Linked DNA regions of Diceros bicornis minor. The protein of the gene in region 2 purifies or fractionates together with the protein of the main gene of each other region. This does not show direct contact. Links are inferred from orthologs where the notes say so. Each region holds a gene or a part of one and is shown on either strand. Other genes may lie near its edges. The genes, in order: CEP350, PPP2R1A and PPME1.

Evidence for each region.
Region 1: the proteins of PPP2R1A (region 2) and CEP350 purify together in Homo sapiens (affinity purification with mass spectrometry; 4 studies listed by BioGRID and IntAct, with this or other methods). This does not show direct contact. The link is inferred for Diceros bicornis minor from reciprocal best matches to the Homo sapiens genes PPP2R1A and CEP350.
Region 3: the proteins of PPP2R1A (region 2) and PPME1 purify together in Homo sapiens (affinity purification with mass spectrometry; 11 studies listed by BioGRID and IntAct, with this or other methods). This does not show direct contact. The link is inferred for Diceros bicornis minor from reciprocal best matches to the Homo sapiens genes PPP2R1A and PPME1.

What each region holds. Positions count from the first base shown.
Region 1 is NC_080743.1:87,104,728-87,114,734, reverse strand, and holds the start of CEP350 (centrosome-associated protein 350), read left to right. Parts: upstream 1-3,964; 5' UTR 3,965-4,047; intron 4,048-10,007. UniProt on the Homo sapiens protein: Plays an essential role in centriole growth by stabilizing a procentriolar seed composed of at least, SASS6 and CPAP. Required for anchoring microtubules to the centrosomes and for the integrity of the microtubule network.
Region 2 is NC_080773.1:28,671,040-28,681,046, reverse strand, and holds the start of PPP2R1A (serine/threonine-protein phosphatase 2A 65 kDa regulatory subunit A alpha isoform), read right to left. Parts: upstream 6,014-10,007; 5' UTR 5,953-6,013; coding exon 5,875-5,952; intron 1-5,874. UniProt on the Homo sapiens protein: The PR65 subunit of protein phosphatase 2A serves as a scaffolding molecule to coordinate the assembly of the catalytic subunit and a variable regulatory B subunit.
Region 3 is NC_080746.1:56,782,888-56,792,894, forward strand, and holds the start of PPME1 (protein phosphatase methylesterase 1), read right to left. Parts: upstream 5,087-10,007; 5' UTR 4,978-5,086; coding exon 4,877-4,977; intron 1-4,876. Other genes in the region: C2CD3 (C2 domain-containing protein 3), read left to right, coding at 5,297-5,366, 8,299-8,568. UniProt on the Homo sapiens protein: Demethylates proteins that have been reversibly carboxymethylated. Demethylates PPP2CB (in vitro) and PPP2CA. Binding to PPP2CA displaces the manganese ion and inactivates the enzyme.

The DNA.
Region 1 (10,007 bases), on a different chromosome or scaffold from region 2:
AACTTAACCACTATGCCACCAGGCCAGTCCCTCTGTCTCTATTTCCTTGTCAAAGAAAGTTCTTATTGATAAATTTTAATGTTTGCATAATTCTGCACATCAGAACACCAAATGCCCTAGACAAGTTCAAGACTAAGGCAAAAGATTGAATTTAGAGAAAGAAAGTAACCAGAAAACTCATCCCTAAATTTGGTGTTTGCATAGTTTGTTAGAATCGCATAGTTTGTTAGATTTGCAATCCGAATGGTTGGATTTATTATTAAAAAGGTAGTAGACAAGATTACAGATCAGATTTGGCATTTAGGCTTGCCATTTCAATAGAAAAGTCTTTACCTAATCCTGACATAATTTTATTCAAGTGACCTCAAACAGTGAATGGCATCATTACATCACCATAGCTGTATCTCTCCATTTCCCAATTTGTTATGTCTGGAAATCAATGCCAAATTTCACATTTTCAGGAGAGAGAACATGTAGCTTTTCACCCAAAATTTATTAAATCCAACAAACACTCAATTGAATTCAACAAATCTTGAATGCCTAGTTGATGCAAGGCACCTACTCAGTTTATAAAATAGTAGTGAAAATAACCAACATTTTTGAGCACCTACTATGTACTAAGTACTGTGCTGTTTCCTTTACATGTGTTGTTTCTTTTAATCCTCACAAAACTCTATGGAGTAGGTACTATTGTAATCTCCACTGTACAGATGTGGAAACTGAGGCACAAAGAGGTTAAGTAGCTTGACCAAAGTTACTTGATTGGATCCAGGCCTTTTTGATTCCAGAGTGCATGCTTTTAATCCACCATGAAGGAGACAAAGGGCTTTACTGTCTAACGTGACAAGGATGTGCAGGATAAAGGCAGAACTATGGATAGTAGATATGGCCCTAAGGGAGGTACACAGCATTGCAGAACTCAGGGGTGGAAGAGGATCTGCAAAGTATGGGCAGTCATGGAATTCTTCCTGGAGTAGGTAGCTTTTGAGCTTGTACTTAAAGGATGTGGCTGAAATTGTGAACCAAGGTGACCTGTGTTTCAGGTTAGAGACAAAGGTGTAGAGGTAGGGATGAGCAGGCTGTTTCTGAGATCCAGTTTGGCCCAAACATACATCCAATTAGGGAAGTAATAATAGCCACTGCTTATTTCTATCTTTTATGTATCACGCTCTTGACAGATGTTATTTCTACTTTTTAAGACAACTCTACAGAGTAGATATCATTAGCCTTGATTTATAGACAATAAAATGAAGGCTTTTGAGGTGTCACAGGGCAACTAAGTGACAGGCAAGATTTGAACTGGAGTCTTCCTGACACCACATTCCTGCCCTTTCTACTTTTTCATGCTGTCTTACTTTAGGGAGATAGAAAGCTAGGCTGGTGCCATATCGAGAAAGGCCTTGATGACTGAGGTGAGGAATTCTTACTTACCTTGGCAGGCAGACGAGGGCAGGGGCAAAATTCAAGCTGAACTCTGGGAAGACAACTGCAATCTTTTGGGCAGTAGAAAGGAGAGCCTGAATTAGAAGAGCAGAGGTGCAACTGGACAAAAGGGGAGTAGATAAAAGAAATATGTAACAATGGAATTTAGAGACTTAATAACTGATTGGGTAGGAATAAGGCATAGAGAAAAGTATATAATATTTCTAAACTTTTGAGCCTCTCTGTTCTCCGAAGGGAGTTCTGCAATGGCCATTAACAGAACAACAGGGCAGGAGGAGGAACTGGCTTTGTGGGATTGAGGAGGGAGAAAATGATATACTTAATTTGGGAGCTGGAGGTGGTGGTAACTTCTACATCTACGTGGAGATGAGTAACAGACAATTGGAGATTTAGTCAAGTCTGGGGCCAAGATCCAGTTATACAAAGAAGGTTGACAGTCAAAGTCATCGTAATCAGTGAAGACTATAAAGTGCAGAAAAATCCAATCTTAGTGTCTACTAAGAAGTAGGAGAAAAAATAGAGCCCACCTATTATGTGCCTAGTACTGTGGAAACTACTGGGAAGGGTGACAAACCTTTTCTCATTAAGCTTCCAATATTGTTCCAGAGACTAATTACTCTCATGAAACTACGAGAAAATAGTACAAAACTTAATATACTCAGAAGCCATTATGTAGAGTATAAACAGTAAGAGTTATGGGATGTTGAAAAGAAGAGAGGTTGATGTGTTAGAGGTATTCGGGAGGTAAGAGAGAGGGCAGGGATTAGCACAAAGTATGGAGGTGGAAACTGTGCATAGGCTGATGTGAGGGTAACATTGCTCCCCGCGTGGTGACAGGAATTTTTGATGTTTTCTTTGTTGCCCAGGAGATAGCCTGGAGGTAGAAAAGTATCAATAGGCTTTGGAGTAAGGGAGATTTCAAATCTTATATCTGCCTTTTACTGATGCTATAATATTGGGCAAATTACTTAGTTTTTCCAAACCCATTTCCTCTTTTTAAAAAAGTGAGCATAATACTTAATAAGATGGTTGTATAAATTCAGTAAAGTAACATATGAAAAGCATCTATCCCACTCCTTTTCACCGAAAGAGTGGGGAAAACCTAAATAACTCTTTCCTATGTTGTTTTTCTTGCTACCACTTGCACCGTTGGGATACCCACATTACCTGTTCTTCCCTCCAGCACAGCTTCCTGGAGACACAGTACACATCTAACATACGTGCGGGATTTTTGTACATCCACTTATTTCCTATTCAGGCACAGCTATAGGCCCTACAAAGAGGGTGCAGTAACTGCCTCCTGCTTTTATTGATACGATCTACTCAACAAGCATTTATTGAGCACCTACAATGTCCTAGTTACCGTCCTAGGTCCTGTTGGGGTATAGAGAGATACTCAAGATACGTAGCCTCAAGATACTTAAAAATAAGAAACAGTCTCTGGCTAAATAGCTATTGGAGTTCAGAAGGTGGAGGAGTGTAATGGGTAGAGACCTTGTGTGCAATGAACACCGAGAGGAAGGTGGCATGATTTGCGGAAGAGATGTCATTTAAGCTGTCTTGACAGATGACAGAATTTACCATGCAGAGACCGGGGAGAGGAAAAAGGTATTAGAAGATATGTTGGTCGCAGAGTTTCTCAAAGCACAGTTATATCAATGCCAATACCTAACTGGAGGAAACTCCGTTTTGCTTGCTTTGGCATCTTAAGCCACTAGACAGAGTGCATGCTGAACAGAATTGCAACCCTTGCGAATAACACGGCCACAGTGACAGCAGTGGGTAACTGCAGCAGCCGCAGAGCTGCAATTACTCTAAAGCTCACTGGGGTAAAGATTCATTTGGACGACAATTGGTGAATTGTCGTAAACTCTGAGAAGCTGCAATTTCCAGACGTCGAGTTCATCTTTGTCAAACCCCCAGCTTGTTTTTTCGGCTAGGAGGTGAAATGCGCAGCCAGATGGCCCAATTAGCGTCAGCGGAAAGAGGGCGGGGTTGGGGGGAGGTCTCCGCTGCGGATCTACTCTGGCCCCTCCCGAGATCTGCAAGGCTCAAACTTCGCCACACTAAACATGGCGCCCTCGAGGTTCCTCTCCTCGTTTCACCTCGCCTTCACCTTTGGCCACACTCAACATGGCCCTAACCAAGGGTTGCATTCTTGTGGAACCGTCTGGGCATAGTTCTCGCGATGTTTGCCCGGGCCCCTACTGCTCCCGCCCTGCCTCGCGCCGCCGCCGCCGCTGCCGCCGGCGCCGCTCCTCCTCCGTGTCAGTTGTTGGGCTGTAATGGCGACTGGGCCGCTGCTGCTGAAGTGACTCCCGGGCGGGGGGAGAGGGGCCAGACCTGCGCCAGAGGGAACTGCAGAGAGCCGCAGCTCAGGGGGTAGCTTGTTGTGGGGGAGGGGAGGCAGCCTTTCCGTCTCTCCTTCCTTCTCTGCAGACCCGCGGATTTCGGGAGCCGGTGCGAGGCGGGCACCCGGTGCGTCCCCGGAGCGGGGAGGCCAGGCCCGGCAGCCCTGGGGCAGGTTGGGGCGGCGTCACTGTACCCTCCGCCAGGCCCTGCGGGATGCACCGTGGGAGCCGAGGGCGGAGGCGACACTCTCAGGTGAGTTGCGGGAGGACCTGGCTGGGACCGTGGACGCTCTCTTAGCCTCCGCAGCCTCTGTCCGCGGTCCCGGGTCCCCAGTGGTGGCGAGAGAGGTGGGGCGGGGCGCGGGGAGCCCTGGCCCAGCCTGGCTTCGCCCTCGGGGAACCTTACTGGGTCCTGAGGCTTTGCGGGGAGGGCCATCCTGCGACTTCGGTTTCAGGTCCCACCGGTGCCTGCCGAAGACGAGATTTCCTTCCTTACCTGCCGGTCCTCCCCCGCTTCCCCCGCCCCTCCTCTCGTCTGCAAAAGATTTGAGATGCCTCTCTCCTTTGGTCTCCAGAGAAGTGTCCCTTCTTCATTGGAGATCAGGCATATTTGGGGAAATTCCGGGCAACTGGCTCCAGTGGCAAGGATGACTAGTTTCTGTTCCTTTTTGGTGGGGATAAACATTCCTAAACGTAGGGAAAACTTTGATCTTGTGTTCCAGTCTAGCAGCTGCTGAATGTAGTCTACTGATTTATTCACAAATGATGTAGGGGGAGATTTAAAAAGCCTTACGCTTTGAAAGTTTACGTAGCATTTTTCCCCGCCCTCTTTTTAAATATAGCCCAACGTGCTAAATAATATTTAGCTAATGTCACAACATGGTTTGGAATTTGGCTGGTTTTTTAGTTTTCGGATAGGAAGTCGCACATATAGATTTTAATGTGGTTTTAGTGTAGTAGCAAATCCTTCATATAGGAAAAAACAGGTGGCCAGGAATAGTGATCAGTATCCATGTACTCCACCTGATTGTTTTGTTTTGCTGGTGATCCTTGTTTTGAATTTGGAAAAGTCGTTAATGGTTATGTTGCCATGTTAACACGATACCTCCTCCTGTATTTTAAGGGTTTTAAAGAAAAGGCTATCTTAGGCAGACCTAGTAACAACTTGAGAAGGTTTGTAGAGGCAGTGATAAAATACTGAAAGCTGCTCTCCATTTAAAAAATTTCTTAGTTTAAAATATTGTTTTTAAATAAGGCAGTGTGCTGCTAATAAAATGAGATTGTGACTTTGGGGAATTGGTTGTTAGACCTATGGTAGAAGTTTCTTCAAACCCATGGGAGTGTAATAATTAGTTTTGGTGTGCTAAATTGACAAACGCCATGCAGAGTAATAAAATATATCTGAACCCTGGAACGGTCATTGCGTTGGATTTAAGATACTTTAATCAGAAAATAAACATAACCTGGAATACATTGTATGTGTGGATAAATACATGTGTATCTCATCTTCATAGTCAGTAGCAGTACTTCCTGTTTGTAGTGATGGTGAGTTATAATATGTAAACAATTTCGTACATATGTGAAAAGATTTTTCCGAGATTTGTTGGTGTGTAGTGTTATGGAGGAGCGTTAATACTTCAGCAGCCAACCTCCTGTGGGGTAATCAATTTATGAATTATGGAGTTTTGAGTTTTCTTCTGTTGCTTCGGATTGCCAGTCTTTTGCCCATTTTATAACGCTTCTACCATATCATGGACAGAAAAAAGAGATGTAGCCCCTGTCTAACCAATTTTATTTGTTAAATTGGTATAAGTTATAGTGAGAGCAAAAAAGCTGCTGTCTAAAATAACTGACGTCATTTTTTGGTGTGCTTCCACATACATTATTTTATTTAGTCTACATAGCAATTTTGTGAGTAGGTTTGGCAAATATCTTACTTTGCAGTTGTGGAAATTGACACACAAGTAAGTTCGTTTATTTTTGTGAATGCTGCTGTTATTTCTGCAGATGATTGAGAATTAGTTTTATTTTCAATTATTTTTTTATTGAGATATGATTGATATATAACGTTATATTAGTTTCAGGTGTGCCACATAATGATTCCCTATTTGTATATATTGGGAAATGATCACCACAATAAGTCTAGTTAACATCCTAGAATTAGTTTTATTTTAAATTGAATATTAATGTAGATACTTCTGACATTTGGTTTTTTAAAATCTAAAAAAAATTCTATTCTTGTTCTTTTTGACATGCCACTTGCTCCTTATGCTGATGATTGTCACTTCTTTAAAAGCATTAGTACTTTCATAGCATTTTGTTAATTATTAACAAGTCATGAATTATTATAATGGATTGCATTAGTTCTGTATGTACTTTTTGCTTGAATAATGTTCCTAAGAAATTGTAGTTAATTTGTCATCACTCATTTTGTTTGGATACTTACTTCTGTCATCTTTGGTATTTCAAATCATTTATACTCTTGGTTATGTAAAGCAGATATTCAAGCCACATAGTAGCATAACTGAGTAGTAACAACTTGGTGATTTTATTGTAGAGACAACTGATGATTTAAAAAGTTAAATCACCATCTACACTTCTGATTGCTGTTTCTGCAGTGTGGGACCGGTTGTTAGATAATTTTCTTTTTTCCCCATGTCAGACAATTTCTAGTGTCATAAATAGTCCAAAAACCCTGAGTAAACAAAAGATTGCATAGTTTTTTCCTGCACTAATACTTTTTGTTTATTGTTACCACAAGTATAACTCTACATTTACTAGTGCTTATTTGGGGTTATTATTTGCCTTTCTTATCTAGTCTGTAAGTTTCATGATGGCAGAAATCCTCTATTGATTACCGTGCACCCAATGCCTAGCACATAATAAACTTCCACCAATGTATATTCAACCAATAAATTCAAAAAATTCAATAAATATTGGTTGAATAAATTGACTAAAGTGTGGTCTCGGTATAATATTTAAAAAACAAAACAAAACACTAGTTCATAGTTCCTAGGCACATCTCAACTCTTCCTCTTTTTTTTTTTTTGTGAGGAAGATCAGCCCTGAGCTAACATCCCTGCCAATCCTCCTCTTTTTGCTGAGGAAATTACAGTAATTACTCTTAATTACAGTATTAGGATTTTTAAATCTTAAAGGCTGACTAGTTTAATTCCCACGTTTTATACATAAACAGAGTATCATATAGGGAAATATCTTACCTATAGTTGGTTTCATAACTGGGTGAAGAATCCACTGTCAGCTGCTAAGTTTACATTTGTTTAAAGTGTCAGATAATTATCAGATCAGAGGATAATTGTGAACAACCTGGCCATCTGTTCTACATCAGTGTTAATTAAAAACTGAAAAACAGGGCCGCCCCGTGGCTTAGTGGTTAAGTGAGCGCGCTCCACTGCTGGCGACCCGGGTTCGGATCCCGGGCTCGCACCGACGCGCTGCTTCTCCGGCCATGCTGAGGCCGCGTCCCACATACAGCACCTAGAAGGATGTGCAGCTATGACACACAACTATCTACTGGGGCTTTGGGGGAAAAATAAATAAATAAAATCTTTAAAAAAAAAAAAAAACTGAAAATAGGACTGTCTTTTCATGAGTCAAAAATATTTGTTAACAATGAATCTCAACCCTCTGTTCTGTCATTGGGACTATAAGTTGGTACAACTGGAACAATGTTCTCGAAGGACATGTGGCATTATCTACCAAAATTAAAAGTGCACATATTCTTTGATAGAATAATTTCATTTTTAGGAGTGTTATTTTACAGAAATTTTAACACTAGAGCCCAAGAACAAATCTATAAGGATGTTCATTTTAGATTATTACAAATAAATGTGAACATTTATAAGTAACAGAGAATGTCTTAATTGTCCATTGGTAGGGGAATTGTTAAAATTATAGTATATTTATGCTGTGAGATATTATGCACTTGTTAACAGGTTGAGGGATTTCTATATTTACTTCATGAGAAGCAACTGAGCTTATCCTTGAGTGCAGGGACCATGCAGCAAACTTTCTGGGTTCAAACCCTAATGGCACCATTTATTAGCTGTGACCATTTGCAAGTTACTTAAACTCATCTATAAAGTGGATATAATTATAGTTCTTATCTGACAGGGCTGTTGTGAGAATTAAATGAGTTAATATTTAAGCCCTAGGTAAGCATAGTAAGCGCCACATAAATGTTTGCAGTTACTGTTATGTACTGACATGGAAGAATGTTCATAATATGATTGAAAAAATAGGTTGTACTACACTGTGGAATATGATTCGTTTTGTACAAACACACACATAGGCAAAGAAATGTAGTTTGGTTTTGTATGTGCAAAGGAAAATGTGTAAGAATCGACATTAAACTATTAGCAGTGTTATCCCTGGGGGAGTAGATAACTTTCCTTTTTTTACTTAAGACACTTTTGTATTGTTTATTGTAAGTCCCGCTTTTATAATTTTTGAAAGCTTTTTCCTAAAAAAGAAAATATTGGAGCAGAATTTTTCTTCAATTATACAGTCATATAAATGGAGTTGTTTCTCAGAGATCTACAGATTTCATCAGCCAGATATCACATAATTGGATTCTATTTCAAAACTTTTGTTGATGAAAGGTTAAAATTAATCTATGAAAATTCCTACTAAATGTATTTATTTTTCTGCTAGCTTTGTGACCTTAAAGCTCATTTCTTAATTTACAAAGTAAATACGTAGGTTAGATCAGTGTTTCTTAAACTCAAGATTCCTGAACTGTGCCCAAAAGTACCTTGGAGCACCATAGTGAACTCACACAAGCACTGTGGGATATTTTTAAATTTTCGAGGGAAACACAGTAATATTTGACATCTGTGGGACACTGCTCAAACGATTAGTTTGAGATAGTGCACATGAGATTGTGCTACATTCCTTTCTGTGACAGTATGTCTTCAAAAAACTAGGTTTTGGAGGGTTGCTGTGATAAAAAGCAAGTACTGTGTAAAAATCAATGTGAAACAGTAAGTGAAAGTGGTAGTGTCCAAAGTGATTTCAAGATTTGAGAAGTTGTGTAATGTGTATTAGGTGCACACATCCCATCAATAAGTAATGTGGTTGTTTGGTAATAAAATATTTTTTCAATTTATATGTGTTTTTCAAACAGCTACTAAGTTGTCAGTATGTAAATAGGTTGTATGGTCCTAACTACCTAATAACTGTAAGTGTTAGGTGTTTTTTGGCCTGGGGGCACCATGAAAAAATTAGAGAGAGACTAAAGGTTCTGTGAGCTGAGAAAGCTTGGGAATCTCTTGACCTCTTTTGACTAGGACACTACAGTAAGAAGTATGTTTTTCATGGTGACACAATATACATAAATATGTATATTTTTATATATAAAATGGAATGAAAGTTTTACTAAAACAATACCCTTCTACTTTTGATACCCTGATATTCTCAATTCAGTTCTGTTTGGTTTCATTGAAACAATACTAGCTCCAACCCACCAGATTGGGTTTTTTTGACCTATGAATGGGTCATTACTACATGTTTGAAAAACGTGAGGCTAGATGACCCTTAACTTCCAGCTTTAATTTGCTTTGTTCTCTGATTAGTTATAAACAAAGTTGGACTATGCTTATACAATAGATACATCTCTGAAAAAATGTAGATGCTACATTTTTCTATAATGATTTATTTTAAATACTATAGAGAAATAACAGTGTAAAGGAGTTCTGTTTTTTTTTTTTAACAAATAGAAGGATATTTTTGTGAACAGAAGAATCCGATTTATCTTTGAGAAGTTTGGGTTTTGGTCAGTTTTTAAAAAAAGTTAGCCACTTAAAGTTTTTGTTGTTGTAAGTGGACTTGTAGAAGCTGCTTATGGAATTGCGGCGTCCCTTCCTTTTTAAAACTAGATTTAAAAAATCATTCATGACTAATAGCACTGGCCACAAGTTAATAGGCTTCAATTCATTTTCATGTCTAAATCTTTGAGTATTAAAGAATTTCTTTTTAGCTTTGGGCTTGTTTTAAAATATGAAACGTATATGTACACATATAACTATTTTTTTTTTTTTTTTTTTACATATTACCGTGAAAGAAATTTTCTGCTCAGGAATGGTTAACCTCTTCATATTGTATGAAATAATCTGTGGTTTGTGTTTTTTTTTTTTGCCTATTTGCATTTAAGAATGGATTCTGAGACTTATCATTGGGACCATCATCATTCAG
Region 2 (10,007 bases):
CCAAAGCATCTCACCTTTGACAGACAAAGCCCCCATTATTTCACCACCATGACTACCAGCAGACACTTTCTAACAATTAACAACATGCCAAGCACTGTTCTATACATTTTTCATCTACTAACCTACTCAGTCTTCAGAACATCCCTATGAACTGCTAAATTCAAAAATTATTCCCATTTTATAGATGAGAAAACTGAGGCAGAGAGAGTGTAAGTAACACAGAAACCTGGCCTCTCAACCAGTGGACCATATTCTGTAAGTAACACAGAAACCTGGCCTCTCAACCAGTGGACCATATTCTAAGAAAAATGGTGCCCTAAACAACCCTGGGATATGGCAATCCAGCCTTTGCCTCTTACTGGCTGAGGAGGCCTTGGGCAAGGGATGCAATCTCTTTGCACCTCACTTTCCCAAGTATAAAACCATAAGCTACCATGACAACTGAACGAGGTCATCAGTTACTAAACGCCTACTCTGAGGCAGCCACTTAACATGCCAACTCCACTGCATCTTCACTACCAGGCAGACGCTGCTTCCTCATCATTATCCCCATGTTGCAGATGAGGAATCAGGGCCCAAAAAGGGGAAGGCAATGGTCCAAGGGACGACATGGAGCAAACTGGCCAAGCTGGGATTCAAACCTCAGTCATCTTGGACTCCTCCCCCTACATCACTCACATCACGTCCTACCCGACAACAAATCCCAACAGCCCTCCTTCTCAACAAAGACCACTGAATCTAACCATTTCTCCCTACCTGCATGCCAACACTGGTCCTGGGTGCTCTTCAAGGGCATCTCAACAGGCCTATCTGCCCCTGCCCAAACCCCTACTCAGCAGCAGAAGGATCCTTTAGAATTAAGTCACAACACATCATTTCTCTACGCTAAGCCTTGCCAATGGCTCCCCCCATCTCACCAAAGCCTTTGCCCTGGTCCACAGGTCTCACTAGACCTCGTTCAGTACCAGTCCTCACCTCCCATCACTTTGACATTCACTCTGTCTTAGCCGCGCTGGCCTTCCTGCTGTTCTTTGAACACACTGCGCATGCTCCTACCTCAGGGCCGTTGTACCAACTGCTCAGCCTGCTCTTCCCCCAACCTGTTCATTCAAGTCCTTGCTCAGTACCACTTCCTCAGAGCAGCTTTCCCTAACCACTCTATCAAAAACAGCAGACTTGGGCTTGCTCTATTCCCTGTCCCTGCCTATTTTTCTAATTAGCAATTACTGCCACTGATATCATATTATAGATCTACTGTCCATTTCCTCTATTAGAATGCAAGCCCCTAGAGGGCAGCAGTTTTGCTGTGTTGCTCTCTGCTGTATCCTAGCATCTAAGACAGAGTCTGGCACACAGGAGGTACTGAATAAATATTTGCTGAACAAGTGAATCAAGACTACAAAATTTCAAATCCCATGTTCTTTCTAGTATCCTAGACTGTCCCATTAAAGACTAAGTACAGTATCTGGCATACAAATCTAGTCAGTGTCTGCCCCATTCCAAATTCTCTTCCGCTCTCTGATCTCAGACTTCCTTTGGGAATCTTTCCTGGCTCCTCCACTCCCCACCTGGCATGAATGTGGCCAAGTTATTTACCTTCACTGGGCTTCAGTTTCCTCATCTGGAAAATATAGGTAAGCAAAGGGTGGTTGTGAGAACTCAGTAAGCTCATAAATGCACTGCCTTTTTATAGCACCTAGCACAGAGCAAGTACCCAATAAATATCAGCTGTTAATATTATTTATTCAACCCCTTCTGAGCTCCTGTATTCCCTGGTCTCTGTGCTCAGGCCTGTACTGGCTACTGAATCCTTAGGGATGAATCAGGTCCAAGCCCTGTCCTCAAAAAGCCCACAGACATGGACAAAGATGCAATCTCTGAGTCTCTATGTCTCTGATTCTTGGGAAAATGTTCAAACTCCTTATACATGCCGATGTGTATGTACCTGTATGGAAAGATCTGGAAGAAATATTAAGTGAAAAGAGCAAGTTGCAAAATAAAGTACTTACTGTTGGGAAAAAAATGCCCACTTTTTCTTTCTTTCTCTATATATGAATAGAGTATGACCCAGAGTCAGCACACTCCAATAGAAATATAATGCAGAGTGTAAATGCAAGACCTGCATGTAAGTTTACATTGTCTAGTAAAATTAATAAAATAAGCAAGTGAAAATAATCTTACTATATTTTTTAACCCAATATATCAAAAATATTATCATTTCAACATGTAATCAATATAAAAAGTTTTACTGAGATGTTTTACCCTCAGTAGTAGTATGTCTTTGAAATCTGGTGTGTATTTTATGTATAAGCACATCTCAATTCAAACTAGCCACATGTCAAGTGTTCAATAGCCACATGTGGCAAGGGGCTAGGACAGCCCATGTCTAGCAAGATTCACACTGATCTGATAATACTGGTTACTTGTGGGGGTGGATGGGATTTGATACAGAGATGGCTTAAGTCAAGGGTTGGTAATCTATTTCCTGTAAAGGCTCAAGTAATTAACATTTGAGGCTTTAAGGGGCCATATCATCTCTGTTGCAACTACTCAACTCTACCCTGCTGCTGCAGCACAAAAGCAGCCATAGATAATACATAAACAAATGGGTGTATGTGTTTTCAATAAAACTTTATTTAAAAAAATATGAACAGGCACAGGGTCCTGGGTGGCTGTTTGTCAATCCCTGGTTTAAGTGATAGCTCACAAGGTGCTTCTAAGACACATCCCTTTTCATCTTCATCTCCCAACATCAACAGCTCAGTCCCTTGGCTCCAGGCACACTGGCCTTCCTGCCATTGCCAGAACACACTTTGCATAGTCTTGCCTCAGGACGTCTGCACTTGCGGAATGCTATTCCCCAGATATCCACCAGGCCTGCTCCCTCCCTTCAAATCTCTGTTCAAATGTCACTTTCTCAATAAGGCCCTCCCTACCCATTCTATCTAAAATTCTAACCCTCTCCTGTCCTCCCCCATCCCTGCTTTATTTTTCTCCATAGCACTTAGCACTGTCTATCCTCCTCTACATTGTACTTGTTTGTTCCTTGTCTGCCTCCACAACAAAGGGAGCTCCATCAGGGCAGATTCTTGCCTGTTTTGTTCACTGCTGTTGCCCCACTACCCACATCAATCCCCAGCACACACCTGGCACTCCTTAAATATTTGTTGAATGAGGAGTTTCCCTTCAGACTTCAATGCAATAAAAGTAACAAAAGAATAAACAAAAAGAAACATTAAACCAATTGAAGATGTAAAAGAAATTTTTTTAAAAGGGCACTTCACCACCACCATATCACTCAAACTCCTACCACTTTCTCCCTCGATCTCTACCTTCCAGCCACAAGGACTGTGGTAAGCAGAATAATGGCCTTCCAAAGATGTCCACACCCTAATCCCTAGAACTTGAGTATGATACCTTACAAGCAAAAGAGACTTGGCAAATGTGACCAAGGTAAGGACCTTGAGATGGGGAGATTATCCTGAGTTACCCAGTCGGACTCAATCTCATGTCTCAAAATTAGAGACCCTTTCCTGGCTAGTCAAAGGGAGATGTGACTCCACAAGAACAGTCACAGAGATGCAACAATGCTGGCTTTAAGGATGGAGGAATGGGCCACAAGCCAAGAAATATGGGTGGCCTCTAGAAGCTGGAAAAGGCAAGGAAATGGATTCTCCCCTGGAGCCTGGAGAAAGAACGCAACCCTACTGACACCGTGATTTTAGCCCAGTGTGACCCAGGTCAGACTTATGACCTCCAGAGCTGTAAGACAATAAATTGCTGTTCTTTTAAGCCACTAAATTTGCCTCGAGAGTTTCCCATCCCATACGATGGTTTCTCCCAATCCCACTTCTATGGACATTTTGGGCAGATATTTCTTTGCTGTGGGGCTGTCCTGTACCCCATGTCCTGTATAGGAGGTTTAGCAGCATCCCTGACTTCTATCCACCAGATAGAGTACTTCCCCAGTTGTGACAACCAAAAATGTCTCCAGACATTACCAAATGTCCCGCGGTGGGTAAAATCACCCTGGTTGAGAACTACTGCCACTACCTGCCTGCTCTCTCTACCTGGAAGACTCTCCCCCACCTTCTTCCCAAGGCTGGATCCTTCTTCTGGTCTCATCTTGAACTCTGCCTCCTCGAGAAGCCTTCCTTAACTACCCTACTTAAAACAGATCTTCCTCACCCCACTTTGTGCTTGCTGTGTACTCCACCCAGAGAGCCTCATGGCTCCTTCCCTTGCCTCCTTCGGGTCTTGGTTCAAACATCACCTTTGCAGCAAGGCCTTCCTTAACTCCTCTTTAAAACTGCATCCCCCACCACTTTTCATTTTCCTCCTTAGCCCTTATCCGCAACATAGCATACATTTTACTTACTGTCTGTTTCCCCTCACTACAACGTACACTCCACGAGGCCAGGAGCTTTTGTCAATCTTCTTATATACCTGTGTCTACAACAGTGCCCTACGCAGAGCAGAGGCCCAATAAATATTTACTGATTCACTGTCACAACATGCTATGGTTTTCTTCCCACCACATCTCACATGTGTTATTAATGTATTCAGCTCTGTTCCACACGTCTCTTGTATAACAACTGGTGTCACCACTACATCCTCAGCACCATACCTGATATGTGGCAGGTGTTTACTGAACAAATGAATTCCTACAACAGCCCTTATGAACTAGATAATGACCTCCATTTGAGAAAAGAGAAAACCAAAGCTTAGAGAGATTAACTTGCCCATGTCAATCAGCAAGGAGTGGAAGAGCCAGAAGTACAACAGCAGCCTGTCTGACTACAGAACCAAAGTGATATACCCGGAACCTCAGAGGCTGGGCCCAGAGTAACCCACTCAATTTTATCAATAAGGAAATTGAGGCCCAAAGAGAGGATGAGACCTCTTCAACCAACACTCAATAATTATAGCTAACCTTTACTGGGTCCTCACAACAGGCTAGACACCGTTCTATTTTACCTGCATGTATTATTAACTCGTTCAGTCTCTCACAACCACCCAATGAGGTTAGGACTATGATTAGCCCACATTTTATGGAAAACAGAGGGCCAGAGCGATGAAGTAACTTGCATAAGGTCACACGGCGGGGGTGGGAGGTGCAGATGGGATGGGCAAACCGTGGAGTCCTCACTTTTCTCAAATCCTCGCCAGCCAGGCTCAGGGCCCTGAGCCACCCTATTCGGCTCACCAGAAATGTGTTAGCCCATTTAGCAAAGTGCCCACCTCCCAGTCAATGGGACGATCCCAAAAGGGGAGCGGGTTTCTACCTCGTAATTGACTCCTAAATTTGGCGAGCCGCCCCCCGCTCCTTCGGGGATATACACCAAAATTGGAGGGAGGGAAGGAATTGGAAAGGCAGCCTCCATCTCTCAGTTCCCCCATTTAGGGAGTTTACCCCACAGCGCTAAGGCCCAGCCGCCAAAACCCAGAAAGGCGAAAATCTACCCGGGTCCAGACCAAGCAGGCGACCCCTCCCCCATTCGGAGCAAGTCACGCTCCCTCTCCATCCCCAAGGGGCCATTCAGGGACCGCCGCCAATCACCGAGCCCTTCCCTGTCCCCGACCAACCAGGCAAACCCCCTCCCTGGCCGCGGCCTCCCAGGCCCGGGGCCGCCGCGTGCACTCGGCAGGCCCGGGACCCTCCAGACTCGCCTCGCTCCCGCCCTCCGCTGGGCCAACACCCAATCCCGGGCGCTGTTGCATCGAGTCCTGGGACCCGGAGAGATGAGAGCTGCACGCTGATTGGCTGCGCTCTCTCCCCGCCACGCCCAGAGAACGCTGAGCCTTCTCCGCGAGAGCCCCCGTGCCTCCATGTCCCCCTTCCCGTCTTCCTCAAGCCCCCCGTGGCCTCCGGACCTGGACATCCTCGTTGCGGAGCTCGTCTATGAGCACTGCGATGGGGTAGAGCGAGTCATCGCCGTCGGCCGCCGCCATCTTGGCTCCGTCCGTTCCTGTCAGACTGCGGCTACCGCCGTGCTGAAATCCGGATAGGGAGGGGCAGAGCTGGGAGGAGGAAAGGCGGGCGTGGGGGCGCCCGAGCCACTTTACAGGGGCGGCCCCACGGTCATTGGCAGCGCTGCGCCAGAGAAGCCCGCTTTTCTTTGGTCCGGACAAATCAAGTCCCGCCCACTGCCCATTTGCCATTGGTGGAAGGGACGAGAAGGCTTGCCGGAGCCAAGGAGTGGGGGAGAAGGAAACGGAAGTACGCGGTATCTTAGCGACCAAGATCGTAGCCGCCTACGTTGTCGCTAGCAACGGCCAAGACGAGCTGTTGTTTCTAGCCAATGAGGGGCAGGATTGGGAGGAGGCGAAGCCTGCCCGTCTGCGACTCCTGGAGAAAGTTTCTGCGCATGCGTCGGTAGGACTGCATGGCATCAGGAGGTGACCCGGACCGTCTGAAGGTTTTAGCTGGCAGGCGGACGCCCGGCGCCTTTGTGCGGGAGGGGCAGGAGGGAGTGAGGCTTTGATTTATGCCTTATGCCGAGGTCCAGAGAAGGCTGGCGAGTTGCTTTATTATCTGGATTAAACCCAAGTCCCTCGGACTAGTATTCAAGGCCTTTGTGGATCTGATTCCTAAACTCTATCTAGATACATCTCCCATCTCTCCTTTTTACACGTCAGCAGTCCTGGAAAATTAGCCCCCTGAGTTCGTCGTGATGCCAACAAGCCTTTGCCCAAAACATACCTTCTACTTGGAGAGCAGTTTCTATTCAATTGTCTCATCTCTAGATAAATGTCTCCCCTTCCCTGCCTTTCTTCAGGCTTGGCCCTCAAGCCCCTAGAGCCTCACAAAAAAAAAAAAAAAAAAAAAAAAAAAAAAAAGGAGCCACATAACCTGTTTCTCTCTCAAAATTCCCATCCCCGAGGCTGAGGCTGTGACTCTTGTGTTGATGTCTGTCTCCTCCCACAGAATGGGACAGGATTGGTACTGATTAGTGTCTGCTCCTAGCCTCACTCATCACAGCCCCCCTACCCGCAATCTTAGGACCACCCTAAATGAGGGAGTTTGGGCGCGGTGATGGGAAAGCCTGGGGTGCTTCTTCACCCATTATTGTGCCCCTTGAAGGGCAAGGCTGAGCGAGGACTCCTGGACAGGTCTGAATAGCCCAAGCATCTTTTCCAAAGACTTCTACCCACTCCAATTAGGAAACTACTCCCATAAAAAGTAAGGGGTGGTGGTGTTTCATAGTTCAATCCTTGCTGTCCATATTCCCAGGATCCTTCCCTACCTCACCAGCTCACTGAGACTATGGGTCTAGTTAGCTAAGGGTGCACTTTAAACATCTTGAAATTTTCTTTGTCAATTACACCTCAATCAAGCTGGGGCAAAATAAAAAGTCACAAGTGTGCCATGCAGAGGTAGCCTCTGCATCAGACAGCAACTACATAATCAGCAACTTGATTCTTGTCAGTCTTTTCAAACAACAGGCCTTTACCATAGACATCTAAATGAATCACCCAGACAATTATTCCAGCACTGCCATTTGTTTCCACAGTTCACAGCCCAAAAGAGGGGTGTCCTTATTCTGGCAGTCCATAGTTTTCCAAGTGGCACACTAAACAGCTAGACCACTGGCAGCAGTCCAGGTGTCTCAGATCTGACCAATGAACAGAACAATCACATCTAATTTTGGTTCTGCAGAGCTGGCACTAAGGCTAAACAGCCACACTGGCCCAGGGGACACCATTAGGATTTAGCTTACCTAAACCATCAGTGAATCATTTGGGGGAATCTTGAGGTCGAGGGTTCCTAGTGCGTGGCTTTGGCTACAGTGTAGAACTTAAAATTTCCTCCAAAGGGATAAGTACCACTTATTCTTGTAAAGCTGAGATGTCACTGAGGCCAGTCTGCCTTCATTCTTGAATATACACTTTCCATGAGACACAGGACTTTTGGGACCCTTCCTACTTGTTAATAGTGAAGTCCATATTGACTCATTCCAAAATTGAAATATCATGCTTGTAAAAAGGAGATAGCAGACCCAAAGTGGAGTCACTTGTGCTAAATCCCACATCAGCAAACCAAGACTTAATACCCAACCTAATTGCAGTTTAAACCTCTGTTGGAATGTAACCTTTGACCAGTCAACCTGGAATTACCTGGTCAGCACAAGTGCGGTAATCTACCTGAAAGTCCCCTTCCATTCCCTTCAAAATGGTGACCTTGCCTGAAACCATGCATTCTTTGCTAATAATTTCCCTTTTTCCACCCCCTCTCTGCCTTTAAAAACCTTTCCTTTTCTGTAGCCCTTTGGAGCTCCTCTCTACTTGCTAGGTAGTGTGCTGCCTAATTCACAAAGCCAATTTAATCTTTAAATTTACTCAGTTGAATTTTTGTTATTTAACAGATTTAGTGGCAGTGGCAGGACTGAAGGAGACTTCTGACAGCTTTGGGGACGAGAGACACAGGTGTGGTACCCATGAAGTCTGTTGAGTTCTGTGTCTTTCTTACCAATTTTGAGGGAGTGGGTAAGTTCCTCTCAGTTCTGAGCTCTGCTCTCTTTGCATTGAGCTCCTGATCTAATTGGCTTTCCCCATTTGATTGGACTCCCTCCCCAAATTCTCTCCCACTAGCCCCCCCCATTCCACATGGGGAACTGCTGGTGGTTATCCAACTAAGTCTGGAGTTAGGCTGGGTCCAATTTAAGCTGGACTGGGTCCAGCCTGAGGCATCAGGTGAATACAATTTTGTTTTAAGTAAAAGCTAGTGGCTAATGGGAATCAGAAGTAAAAAAAACAAAAACAAAAACAAATCCACAAACATTGCTGGGCATGGGTCGAGCATGAAACTGGGGACCAGCTTGCTTTAACTATACTCAGTTAGTTGTCTGGTTGCAAAAGTAGTTAGATAATGAATTACTAAAACCCACACTATAGACAACATCTCTGATGCCTGGGTCACCATGGTAACATGTGCTTGAGTTTTTCAGGAACTGACAGTCAACTCCTCATCCAGTTCAGGCTGGTTAAGACCACCGACACATCAACTGGGCCTGCATGGATGACCCATAGGTGACGCTTTGATGTCAAGGAGCTGAAAACTCCACCCTCAGATCATGGTGATGCTGCCATTTTGTGAACATGCATCCTATGAAGAGTCATGAAGTTTGATTGCAGATCAAACACAGATCATCAATTGCCTCACTTCTCCTTACCTCCAATCATCTATTCCCACTTCAGACCACTCTGCCCCTTTATCTCATAAATATCCCTAATCCCATTTTTCAGAGGTGGATTTGAGATTGGTTCTCCCATCTCCTTGCTTGGCTGCCTTGTTAAACCCTTTCTCTTTGCAAACTCATCATCTGGGTGATTAGCATAATGGTGTGGTGGGAAAAATGAACTTGGTTTGGTAACAAGCATTTAAAGGCTGTTAAGGGGGCTGGCCTCGTGGCTTAGCGGTTAAGTGCGCGCACTCCACTACTGGCGGCCCTGGTTCGGATCTCGGGCGCGCACCCACGCACCGCTTGTCCGGCCGTGCTGAGGCGGCGTCCTACATACAGCAGCTAGCAGGATGTGCAACTACGACATACAGCTATCTACTGGGGCTTTGGGGAGAAAAAGGGAAAAAAAAGGAGGAGGATTGGCAATAGATGTTAGCTTAGCGCCAGGCTTCCTCAGCAAAAAGAGGAGGATTGGCATGGATGTTAGCTCAGGGCTGATCTTCCTCAAAAAAAATGAATAAATCAATAAAATGAAAAAAAAATAAAGGCTGTTAGGGCACTGTATACCTCAAGAATACTCCCATGTTAGGATAAGTTGGTTATGAAATGGGTTAAATTGACACTAGGTCACCCACCAACCTCAAGAAAATTTCCATGCAACAAAGCACAATGTAAAACTACACACAATTCCCAACACCCAGGCACATCCCTCTTAGGTATTAGTTTGGCTCCAAGAAACCCAAAGGCTTAACTAAAAAGAAATGGGATCTTTAAGCTCCAAAGAGTCAAGTGTGCCACCTTCCAACACACCTGCTTATTTCATGT
Region 3 (10,007 bases), on a different chromosome or scaffold from region 2:
AAAAGGCCTTTGTCCCTGTTCTTTATTTTTTATTTTTTATTTTTTTGTGAGGAAGATCAGCCCTGAGCTAACATCCATGCTAATCCTCCTCTTTTTGCTGAGGAAGACTGGCTCTGAGTTAACATCCATGCCCATCTTCCTCCACTTTATGGAGGACACCGCCACAGCATGGCCTGACCAGCGATGCATCAGTGCGCGCCCGGGATCCGAACCCGGGCTGCCAGCAGCGGAGCGCATGCGCTTAACTGCTACACCACGGGGCTGGCTCCACGTTCCTTCCTTTTTAATTGGCAAGATAGAATCAAGGTAAGATGCAAGTGGACTTGCAGCAGCCATCCTGCAACCATAAGGTGACAAGCAAGAGAAGGAAAAGTCAACATTTCTAAGGATGGCAAAAGAAAGGATGCAAAAACCTTTGGTCCTGAATGATATAGTTGAAGGACTGAATCAACTCTGGAACTTTCTGTTAATAATAAATATCCTTTTGGTATAAACCATGGTAAGCTGTTAACAGTCAATTAGATTATTTCACATTAATGTAATATTGCTAATCTGAATTTGGGGAGTTTTGCAGGTTTAATTGTATTTAAACAGTAAATCTGTTGAGTTCTATAATTATATAACAGTAATATAGAATTTACTCTTATACATAAGGAATTTATCCCTAGTTTTATTTTGTACATATTTAAGTAACATTACATTAAATATAACTTAGGTCAATACTTGGGATCCTAAATATTTTTCCTTCAAAAGGGATTCATTCCGGTGGCACAGTGGTTAAATTCAGAGCACTCCACTTCGGCAGCCCGGGTTCACGGATTTGGATCCTGGGCATGGACGTATACCAGTCTTCAAGCCATGCTATGGCGGTGTCCCACATACAAAATAGAGGAAGATGGGCACAGATGTTAGCTCAGGGCCAATCTTCCTCACCAAAAAAAAAAAGGGGGAGGGTACATACAAATTGAAAGACACTATATTTCTTCAAGGAAGACTCACTATCATAAAAATATTTATTCTAAGCTAATTTATTCTAAGCTAATTTACATATTTAATATAATCCCAATAAAAATACTATCAGGATTTTTTCTGGTAATAGTCTAGTTGATTAGAAAGTTTACTCGTAAGAATAAACAAGTAAGAGGAGCCAGGAAAATCTTAAAAAAGAATGAGGGGGAAGCTACCTCTACCATCTACTAAAACATATTAATAATGCCTCTCTAATTAAAAGTGTAGTAGTGGCACATAAACAAATAGGCCAATGGAAAAGGAAAGAAACTTCATAAACAGACCCAAATCTATGTGGAAATGTAGTATATGATAAAGATGTCATTTTAATCAGTGGGAAAAATGGCTTATTTTTATTGCGGTGAAATTCATATAATGGGAAAAGGATTTTTTAATAAATGGTGTTACAACAACTGGACCCCACAGAGCCCTGTGAGGACACATCTAGAAGACTGTTGTCTATGAACCAGAAAGTGGTCCTCACCAGATACAGAATCTGCTGGCACCTTGCTCTTGGAATTCCCAGCCTCCAGAACTGTGAGAAATAAATTTCTGTTGTTTATAAGCCAGCCAGTCTACGGCATTTTTGTTATGGCAACCCTAATGAACTAAGATACCAGTTGCAAGTGGGGATCCCAAATCAGAGTAGCTCCAAAAGCTTTAATAAAAAAGTTCAAAATCACTGTTTTTGGCATCGTCTACTGGCATCTATCAAGGAACAATAAAACCAGGATTTCAGGCCTTACCCAAGAGAAAGTGTTGGTGTTCCGAAGAGGGAATAGATTCTAGAGACTAACCCTAGATTGAATCCTGGTTCTGCCACATACTAGTAGCGTAATCTTGAATCTCCAAGTCTGAATTTCCTTATTTATAAATTCAGGGAAATACCTACCTTGCCTGGTTATGGGCAGATTAAATAAAATAACATACATAAAACTACTACTACAATACCTGGCACATTGTACTTACTGAGGAAAAAAACGGTAATTGCTATTATTACATTATCCAGCAATACTCTGGAACTACTAAGTTCAATTTGAAAAACTAAATTATGGAAACTCAAGAAAAATCATGAACTCAAAACCACCCTGAATATGCAAACACATCTAAATAAGGTTTAGTGAAATTGAAGGCAAGAGATTATGAAAAATAGCTGAAAGAGTAAGTCATATAATACACTGTCAAAGGAACAGGCCCATCTTGAGTAACACACAGATGTGGGAGTGGAAAAAGATGGGAAGATAAGAAAAAAGGCAAGTGAGAAGGAGAAAGAAAGAAGGATGCTTTGCAATTGGTGGAAGTGAGAGTTCATAAATCAGGACTGACTGAGGAAAAAGAAAGACTGAACTCTATAGTATTTGCAAAGGAAAAAGATAAACAACTTAAAGTAAGTATTGCCAGGATAACAACTACGAATCTAAAAAACACAATGGGTCCCAGAGGCAAGAGATCCAAGTCCTAGTCCTCAGTGGCCCCACCACTAAGCTTCTAGGGTGTCTTAGTATGAGGAAGATTTGAGTTTCAGTTTTCTCAGTTATCAAGAGGAAATACTGTCCCCTGCCTCTTAGAGAATTCTGTATTCTGCAAGGTAAACTGAGTCTCAGTTTCCTTAACTATACAGTCAAGTAGTGAGATGAGATCATTTCAAAGCTCTCTTCTAGTTTTATGATTCTAGAGGGGACAGAGTCTATATTATTACTAACCTTAGAATTAGATGAGGCCTGCTTACGTTTCCATAAGGAAGAAGAAAAGGAAAATAAGCCACTTGAGGACCACATAAAATTCACCAACATATGCTCTTCTCTTCACAATACTATAAAGAAGCATCTTTCTAAAGAACTTTATTTTTCAGGATAAGCAGTTAACCTAAATTAAGAAGACCAAAGCATCTATTTAAGGAGGATAAGTTACTAACAAGTATACAATCTTCTAATCAGAAGATTTTCCCTTTATTTTCTCTTAGCATTTTTCCTCAGTTCTTCATCTTCAGAGAACTTGTTTTGACAAAGTGAGAAGCTGAGTTCTAAACTTATGTAAAGCATGTGTAGATATTAAAAAGCTAATAGTTTATATATTTTTACAAAAGAGTGCTGGTATACTTAAAGATCAAATTTTAGTTTAAGAAAGGCAGCAACTAAGATAAATATCAACAATAACTGTTACATTAATTTTATACTCCAGGTTAATTTTCCCAAATAATCTGTTATGGATCAGTTTCCAGATCCACCTTATTCATGTTAACACTCCTACCTTTCTGTCTTCCAAAGCCAAAACAATCTTCATTTTACCTTATATGCAGCCTTCTACCACCTCTTTCTATTGTGCATCCATCAACCTATCTTCTGTCAAAGTTTTCCCATTTTTCTACTGAGTATCATAGTTAGGTCCCCACTTTGATTCTTAGTTTTTTTCCCTGGTTTTTCCAATCATTCTCACCACCCCTCAACCCCATGGTTTTAATTTATAGGACTCTCCTTTCTCTTCATTCCTAAGACCTACTTTTACAGTACTGCATTTCCTATCCTCATCTCTTTTTTGATCAGTTTTTGTACATATTACTTCTTCAGAACCTAAGGTTTCTCTTCTCTAGTTCTTATTCCAAGAATATCTACCAACCTATCTCTAGAATCCCAAACACACACTCTTGACTACCTCATACCTAAGTATTCTTCCTACCCCTTTTCTCTTTACAATCACTAGTTTCCAGAATCCTGTCTGATACCACAAATACCACCCAAAACCAACTGCCAATTCAGTTCTCTGTGCTTTCCAGCAATCCCTCTCCCATTTTCAACTCATTATACTCTCTCTCCCACACCTAAATAAACCCTAACCTGGCACAAGCCATTCAACAACCTAAAATTCCAAAAGCCTCTCTCTTCAACACAGCCCCTCCCTTCCCAGTAAAGTTTCCCCCAAAACATTTTAAGTGGCTACTCTCAATACTTCATTAATTCTGAGTCTTACCTGAGTCTTATCAAACCCAGTACACAGCTTCCATCAGACCTATTTGCCCAGCAAAAGTCAACTGCCCAAATCTTCCTCTCTAAGCTTCCCAGACGTTACCTCTCTGCAGCACTCCCACTCACTAAACCCTATTCCTACTCACTTCTCAATTTCCAGAGCCCATGGCCACTCTCTAAGCTACTCAGCCCTCTCCCTCGTGACTCCCCTTATGTCCTACCCTCACTTTTCAGCACATTCCTATTATCCTTAATGGTCTTCTTGGCTATGTTCTCCATCTTTCCTTAGGCCTGTTTCCCAAGCTTTTCTCTCCTAAAAGACCTAATCTCCTAGTCACCCCCTCACTCCCTGAATCTGCCTCTTACACCTCTAGGAACTCGCTCTAGAACCTTCTGCTCCTAGCTCTCTTTCCTTCTCCAACCCTGCCTCAGGTGTTCTCTATTTCCCTCAGCTTTTCTAATATCTAGTTCTCAGTCTTACTCCTTCCAAATCTTTTCCTAGTAGTTCCCCTAAGTCCCCTCAACTCTTCTCAGTCATTCCCCATTTCCCTCAACCCTCCCTGGCAGATTCCCACCACCTTTGTCACCGCTCTGCTCCCCTTCCTCCACCCTCCTCCACACCTCCTTCTGGAGGTGCCTCCTACCTCTCTTAAATTACCCTCTCAGCTTCCTCAATCTTTGCCTCATTCCCTTCTCACTTAATACTATTTGTCCTCCAGTTTCCATTGACTTGGCGCCTCCCCTAGTCCCCAAATCTGCCTTCTACTCCATCCAAACGTCTCAGGCCGCCCCTAACATTCTCTCCTAGCCGCAGCCTCCCTTGCCTGCCGTTCTCAACGCCCAGAGACACCATTCTCCAATGGCCGGGGCCTGGCCGCCAGGGGGAAGGGGTACGAGTCACGTACCCCATTCGCATCTTGGCTCCGCTCTGACTGCCCCCGCTGCCGGGTAGAGGAGGGCGAGAGGGCAGGCGGCCGAGGTGCATGCTCTTCTCGAGGGCCGACATGAAGGGGAGGCCGCAGGTAGTTAAAACAGTAGTCGAAGCTTCGTCCCACGCTAAGTGCGGCCCAACCGGTCACAGCTCTCTCCCCTAAGCGACGCCCTGTCGCCTTTGGACAGCACCCAGCTACCGGCAGCACCGCCCACCGCCCACCGGCTCCGTAAGCCCCACCCCCTCCCCCCCTGCGCTTCCACCGGAAGTGCGCAACAGCCCTCCACAAAGGGAGCTGGGTAACGGAGTCTGAGGACACCTCAGACCCCCAGCGGAGAACGCGACGATCCTCCCCCGAGAGAGAAACGCTCCTGAAGACAATGCACCCTGGGCAATGGAGTTCTCATCGGGCGTATCCCTTTGCGCTTGCGCGAGTGGAGGCGACAGCGTCCAACCTCGCAGAGGTAGTAGAGCAAAGCATCCTGGGTGTTGTAGTCTGTTGCCGGGAAAGAGTCTTGGCGCCTTCCCTTTTCCCCGGTTCTCAGAGACTGTTAAAGGAAGAGCCGCTTCTTCCTGCCTCCCAGGCTGCCCAGCGGCGCCGGTTGCCGGGGAACGCGGGCGCCGTGGGAAACGATGGCGGGAGGCTACGGGTTAGGTGCTGGGGCAGGAGTTGAGCTGGTGAAGAAGAGCTCGGGCTCGTCATGAAACAACGAAAAGGCCAAGGGCCTGGGGGCGGCCGTGGCCGCAAGAAGAGAGGTAACCTGAGAGACCAAATGTTGAGGAAAGGTTAACAGGGTTGAGTTAGGGGAGCAGGGTGTAAGGAATTCGAGGGAGACCCCCACACCCGCCTCTAAGAAAAAAAGAAAAAAGACGGAGAAGAGAGAATAACCAGGAAGGAGAAGGTTAAAAGAGAGGGCAGTTGGCCCTCCAGCAAATGGAAAGGAAGTAGGTAGGGGCTGAAGTGGGGGCCAAAGTGGGCGAATAAATGTGGCTAGGTGAGGGCTAAAAGGATACATGTAGGACATTTCTCGAGGAAGGGCACAAAAAAATTCTAGGAATGTTTTTTTTTTGAGATATAATTGACATAGCATTATGTTCTTTTCAGGTGTACAACATAATGATTGGGTATTTTTATATATTGCAAAATGGTCACGACAGTAGCTCTAGGTAGCATCCATCACCATACGGGGTTACAAAAAAAATTTTTTTTCTTGTGATGAGAACTTTTAAGGTCTGCTCTTTTAGCAGCTTTCAAATACACAGTACACTGTTATTAACTATAGTCACTGTGCTGTACATTACATTCCCATGATTCAGGAGTGTTTTTGATAACAGTTAAATGTGTGTGTGTGTGTGTTGGGGGGAGGATATAGCTTTGGAGGTCCACATGGGAATGGAAGAAACATTAGTTGGAGAGGCAAATATGTCAGTAATCCTAATAGGCAAGGATCACGTTTTATACATTACTGAATCCCCAAGAACTAGCACAAAGCAGGACTCGGTAAATGTTATTTGAATGAGTGAAGCCTGAGACAGTCATGCAGCATGAAAGGCTATAGGCGGGAGTTGGGAAAGATAGTTGTGGAGGAGAGAGGAAGAAAGGGTGGGGTGGAGGTGAAGGCATGAGGATCTCTGGAGGATTGAGATGAAAGCATGTGTAGCAAGAGGACTTTTATCAGGTTAGAAATCTCAAGGAGAAACAAGCTCACCAAGGGAGTAGGGAAATGTTAGCTGCAGCAAGAACAGTCACCCCAGGAACCCAGGGCAGATCGGGAAACTGGAAATTGAACCTCTACAGAGCTGCCTCAAAAAAAAAAAAAAAACATTGGGCAACTCTGCCTTTTTACATTATAGGCAAAGGGGCGTTAGGAATAATAATAGTACATTAGGCCCTTAGGTTGAGGACTGAAGCTACAGTCTGGGAATGAATCTTATCCAAGCTGTTTAAAGATAACTAAGGCAGTTTTGAGGCAGCGTCTTTCCTGCCAGAATGATGGGAGGATATGAGACAGAAGCATGGAAGTGTTCAATACTGGTGCTCCCTGTGTCAAACCGGTCAAGAATATTTGGTTGATAGGAGGAAAATCAAAATAGAAATAACATAAGAATGTCCTTCTTGCTATACCACATGCATATGCAGTAATGTTCATATACACACCTTTATATAATTTTTATATTGAAACTAGTTATCCATAAAGATTATGATGGGTCTTTTCACCACTGTAAAGAGCAGAGGAATCCATAGAATTAGTTATATACATTCCTGATCTGATAGACTCCAGTTATTTTCTTCTTGTGTGCCATGACCACTCCCCAAGGGAGAAGTTAGAGGCATAGAAAGGTGTGTGTAACAGGAATGGTTTCTTAAATCTCCTCTAAATCATGGTTAGAAGATACTGTGATTGGAAGACAATCAGGGTCATTAATGGAAAGTTTTATAGAAAGTCATGATTAGTTGCCTCATGTAGATTTTATGATCTGTTTGAAATCCAATAAATATTATAAAAGCCGATAAATATTGTTAACTGAGAACTGTGCTAGAAAATAGTGGTAGAATCTGAAGAGGATAGTCTCTATCCCCATTGACTGTATGTTGTTGGCAGGAAAGAAAAGACATAGCCAATTTAAGGTGGACGTTGCTGAAATGCTGAGTTGTGTGGTATAGACTGAATCATTTGCGAGTCGAGTAAAGGGAGTTGTTGCTGTTTTATATTTAATGATGTTTTTAAAGTAAGAGAGTTAGGTAAAGATAACATAACCGTGGACATTGCAATAATCAAAACAACAGTACTTAGAAGAAAAATTTCAACTACTTTTGAGATTTTAGAGACCTATCTACTGTATTATTATATTTGTATTTTTCTTTTTTTTTTTTTATAATTTTATTTATTTCTTTCTTTTTCCCCAAAGCCCCAGTAGATAGTTGTATGTCGTAGTTGCACATCCTTCTAGTTGCTGTATGTGGGACACGGCCTCAGCATGGCCGGAGAAGCGGTGCATCGGTGCACGCCTGGGATCCGAACCCAGGCCGCCAGCAGCGGAGCACGTGCACTTAACCGCTAAGCCACGGGGCCGGCCCTATATTTGTATTTTTCAAATGGTGTCTTTCAATTAAAGAGGTGTTCATATTAGCATGTCTTAAATTGGTGTGTTCTTTACTTACAATAACCTGAATCAAACCATAAATACTAATTAGTTATCAGAGTGGCTTCAGTGACCATATAGGTTATTCTTTGGTCTGGTTTGCTAGTTACTTCTCCTGTATTAGAATAGGTAGGATAAACCTTCTTTCTGTAGAGACTAAAATGTTTTTGTGTGTTTTCATTCAAAAAGCAGGTTATATGTTTTCTGTATGTAGTCTGCATTTTGACTTAGTGTTCTTGGATTCCTCCACAGGTTTGAGTGACATTTCTCCATCTACAAGCCTACCACCTCTGGTCGAAGGCCAGCTACGCTGCTTTCTGAAACTTACTGTTAGTAAAGTCATCTGGAAGATTGCAAAGCCTCCCACTTGTGTACTTGTCCGAGTGAGATGGTGGGGAGAAACATCAGATGGAACCCTCTTTTCTCCCAGAGATACATTGCAGACTGAACCAAAAGCTGTGAGAACAACTACACGTTATGCTATTCGCTGTGGTCCAAAGCAGTTTACCTCCTATCTGACAGGTATATTTTTGTCTTATCATTTCACCTGCAGGCCTAATAAGCACGTGATTATGTTGTTAGCAGTAGGTGTTATCGTGTATCTAGTATCTATGGCATTGTTTTTTTTTTTTAATTAATTTATTTTTCCCCCAAAGCCCCAGTAGATAGTTGTATGTCATAGTTGCACATCCTTCTAGTTGCTGTATGTGGGACACGGCCTCAGCATGGCCAGAGAAGCAGTGCCTCGGTGCGCACCCGGGATTCAACCCCGGGCCGCCAGCAGCAGAGCGCGAGCACTTAACCGCTAAGCCACGGGGCCGGCCCTGGCATTGTTAATTGTTGAGGAGTCAAAGAGGTTTTATAATAGCCACTATTTATTGAGAGTATACTATATGCTAGCAGTTGATACATATTATTTCTAATCCTTAACGACTGCAAGATAGGTATTTTCTCTGTTTTATAGATAATGAAACTGAGGTTCAGAGAGATGAAATGAATATTCTCTAAGGTTACATAGTTGATAAATGGCAAAACTAGGATTTGAACCCAGTTCTGTCTGACGCCAAAACTCGTGCACTTCTCAGCGTGCCATGCTTTAAGTAATAACTGCAGTCTCTGCTCTGGGTCTTACTTTCCTTATGCTCAAAGAAAGAAGATATAGATATAAAATTTACTAATAGTACAAGATAATACATGCTAAATGCCAAATGAGTGGTTTAGTAAGTGAGTAATACAGGTTTTCAGAGAAAGGAAGGGTCCCTCTACAGGGATTTACAGGATCCACGTGTGCTGGACGTTGTGCTAGGCACCGTGGGGCTTACAAAAATGAATTTAAAAATTTAACCAGAATGGTATCTAATTCTAACTAAGTTCACAGAGAAGTTTAGTTACAATACTAGGTAGAAAGTGATAAGTGCTATTAAAGGATACCCATAGGTACTCTGGGTACTGTACACATAAAACTTAAATCCACTGGTGGTATTCTGATATAATTTAACAAATGAAGAGTGATTAGAAATTCTTCAGTAAGAGAGAAGATGTCTATTAATATGATAATCAACAGGTCAGACATTTATTTGTGAATCCTCTGGGATAATACAGAATGCATTAGACTTGGCATATGATGTTTAGGTTGGTGTTACTACCTTTGGGATTTTGGGAAAGTCCCTTCCCATTTTTGACCCCCATTTTCCTCATCTATAAAATGGGATCGAGGGCCAGCCCAGTGGTGCAAGCGGTTAAGTGTGTGCGCTCTGCTGCGGCGGCCCGGGGTTTGCCGGTTCGGATCCAGGGCACGCACCAACACACTGCTTGTCAAGCCATGCTGTGGCGGCGTCCCATATAAACTGGAGGAAGATAGGCGTGGGTGTTAGCCCAGGGCCAATCTTCCTCAGCAAAAAGAGGAGGATTGGCAGATGTTAGCTCAGGGCCGAGCCTCCTCAACAGAAAAAAAAAAAAAA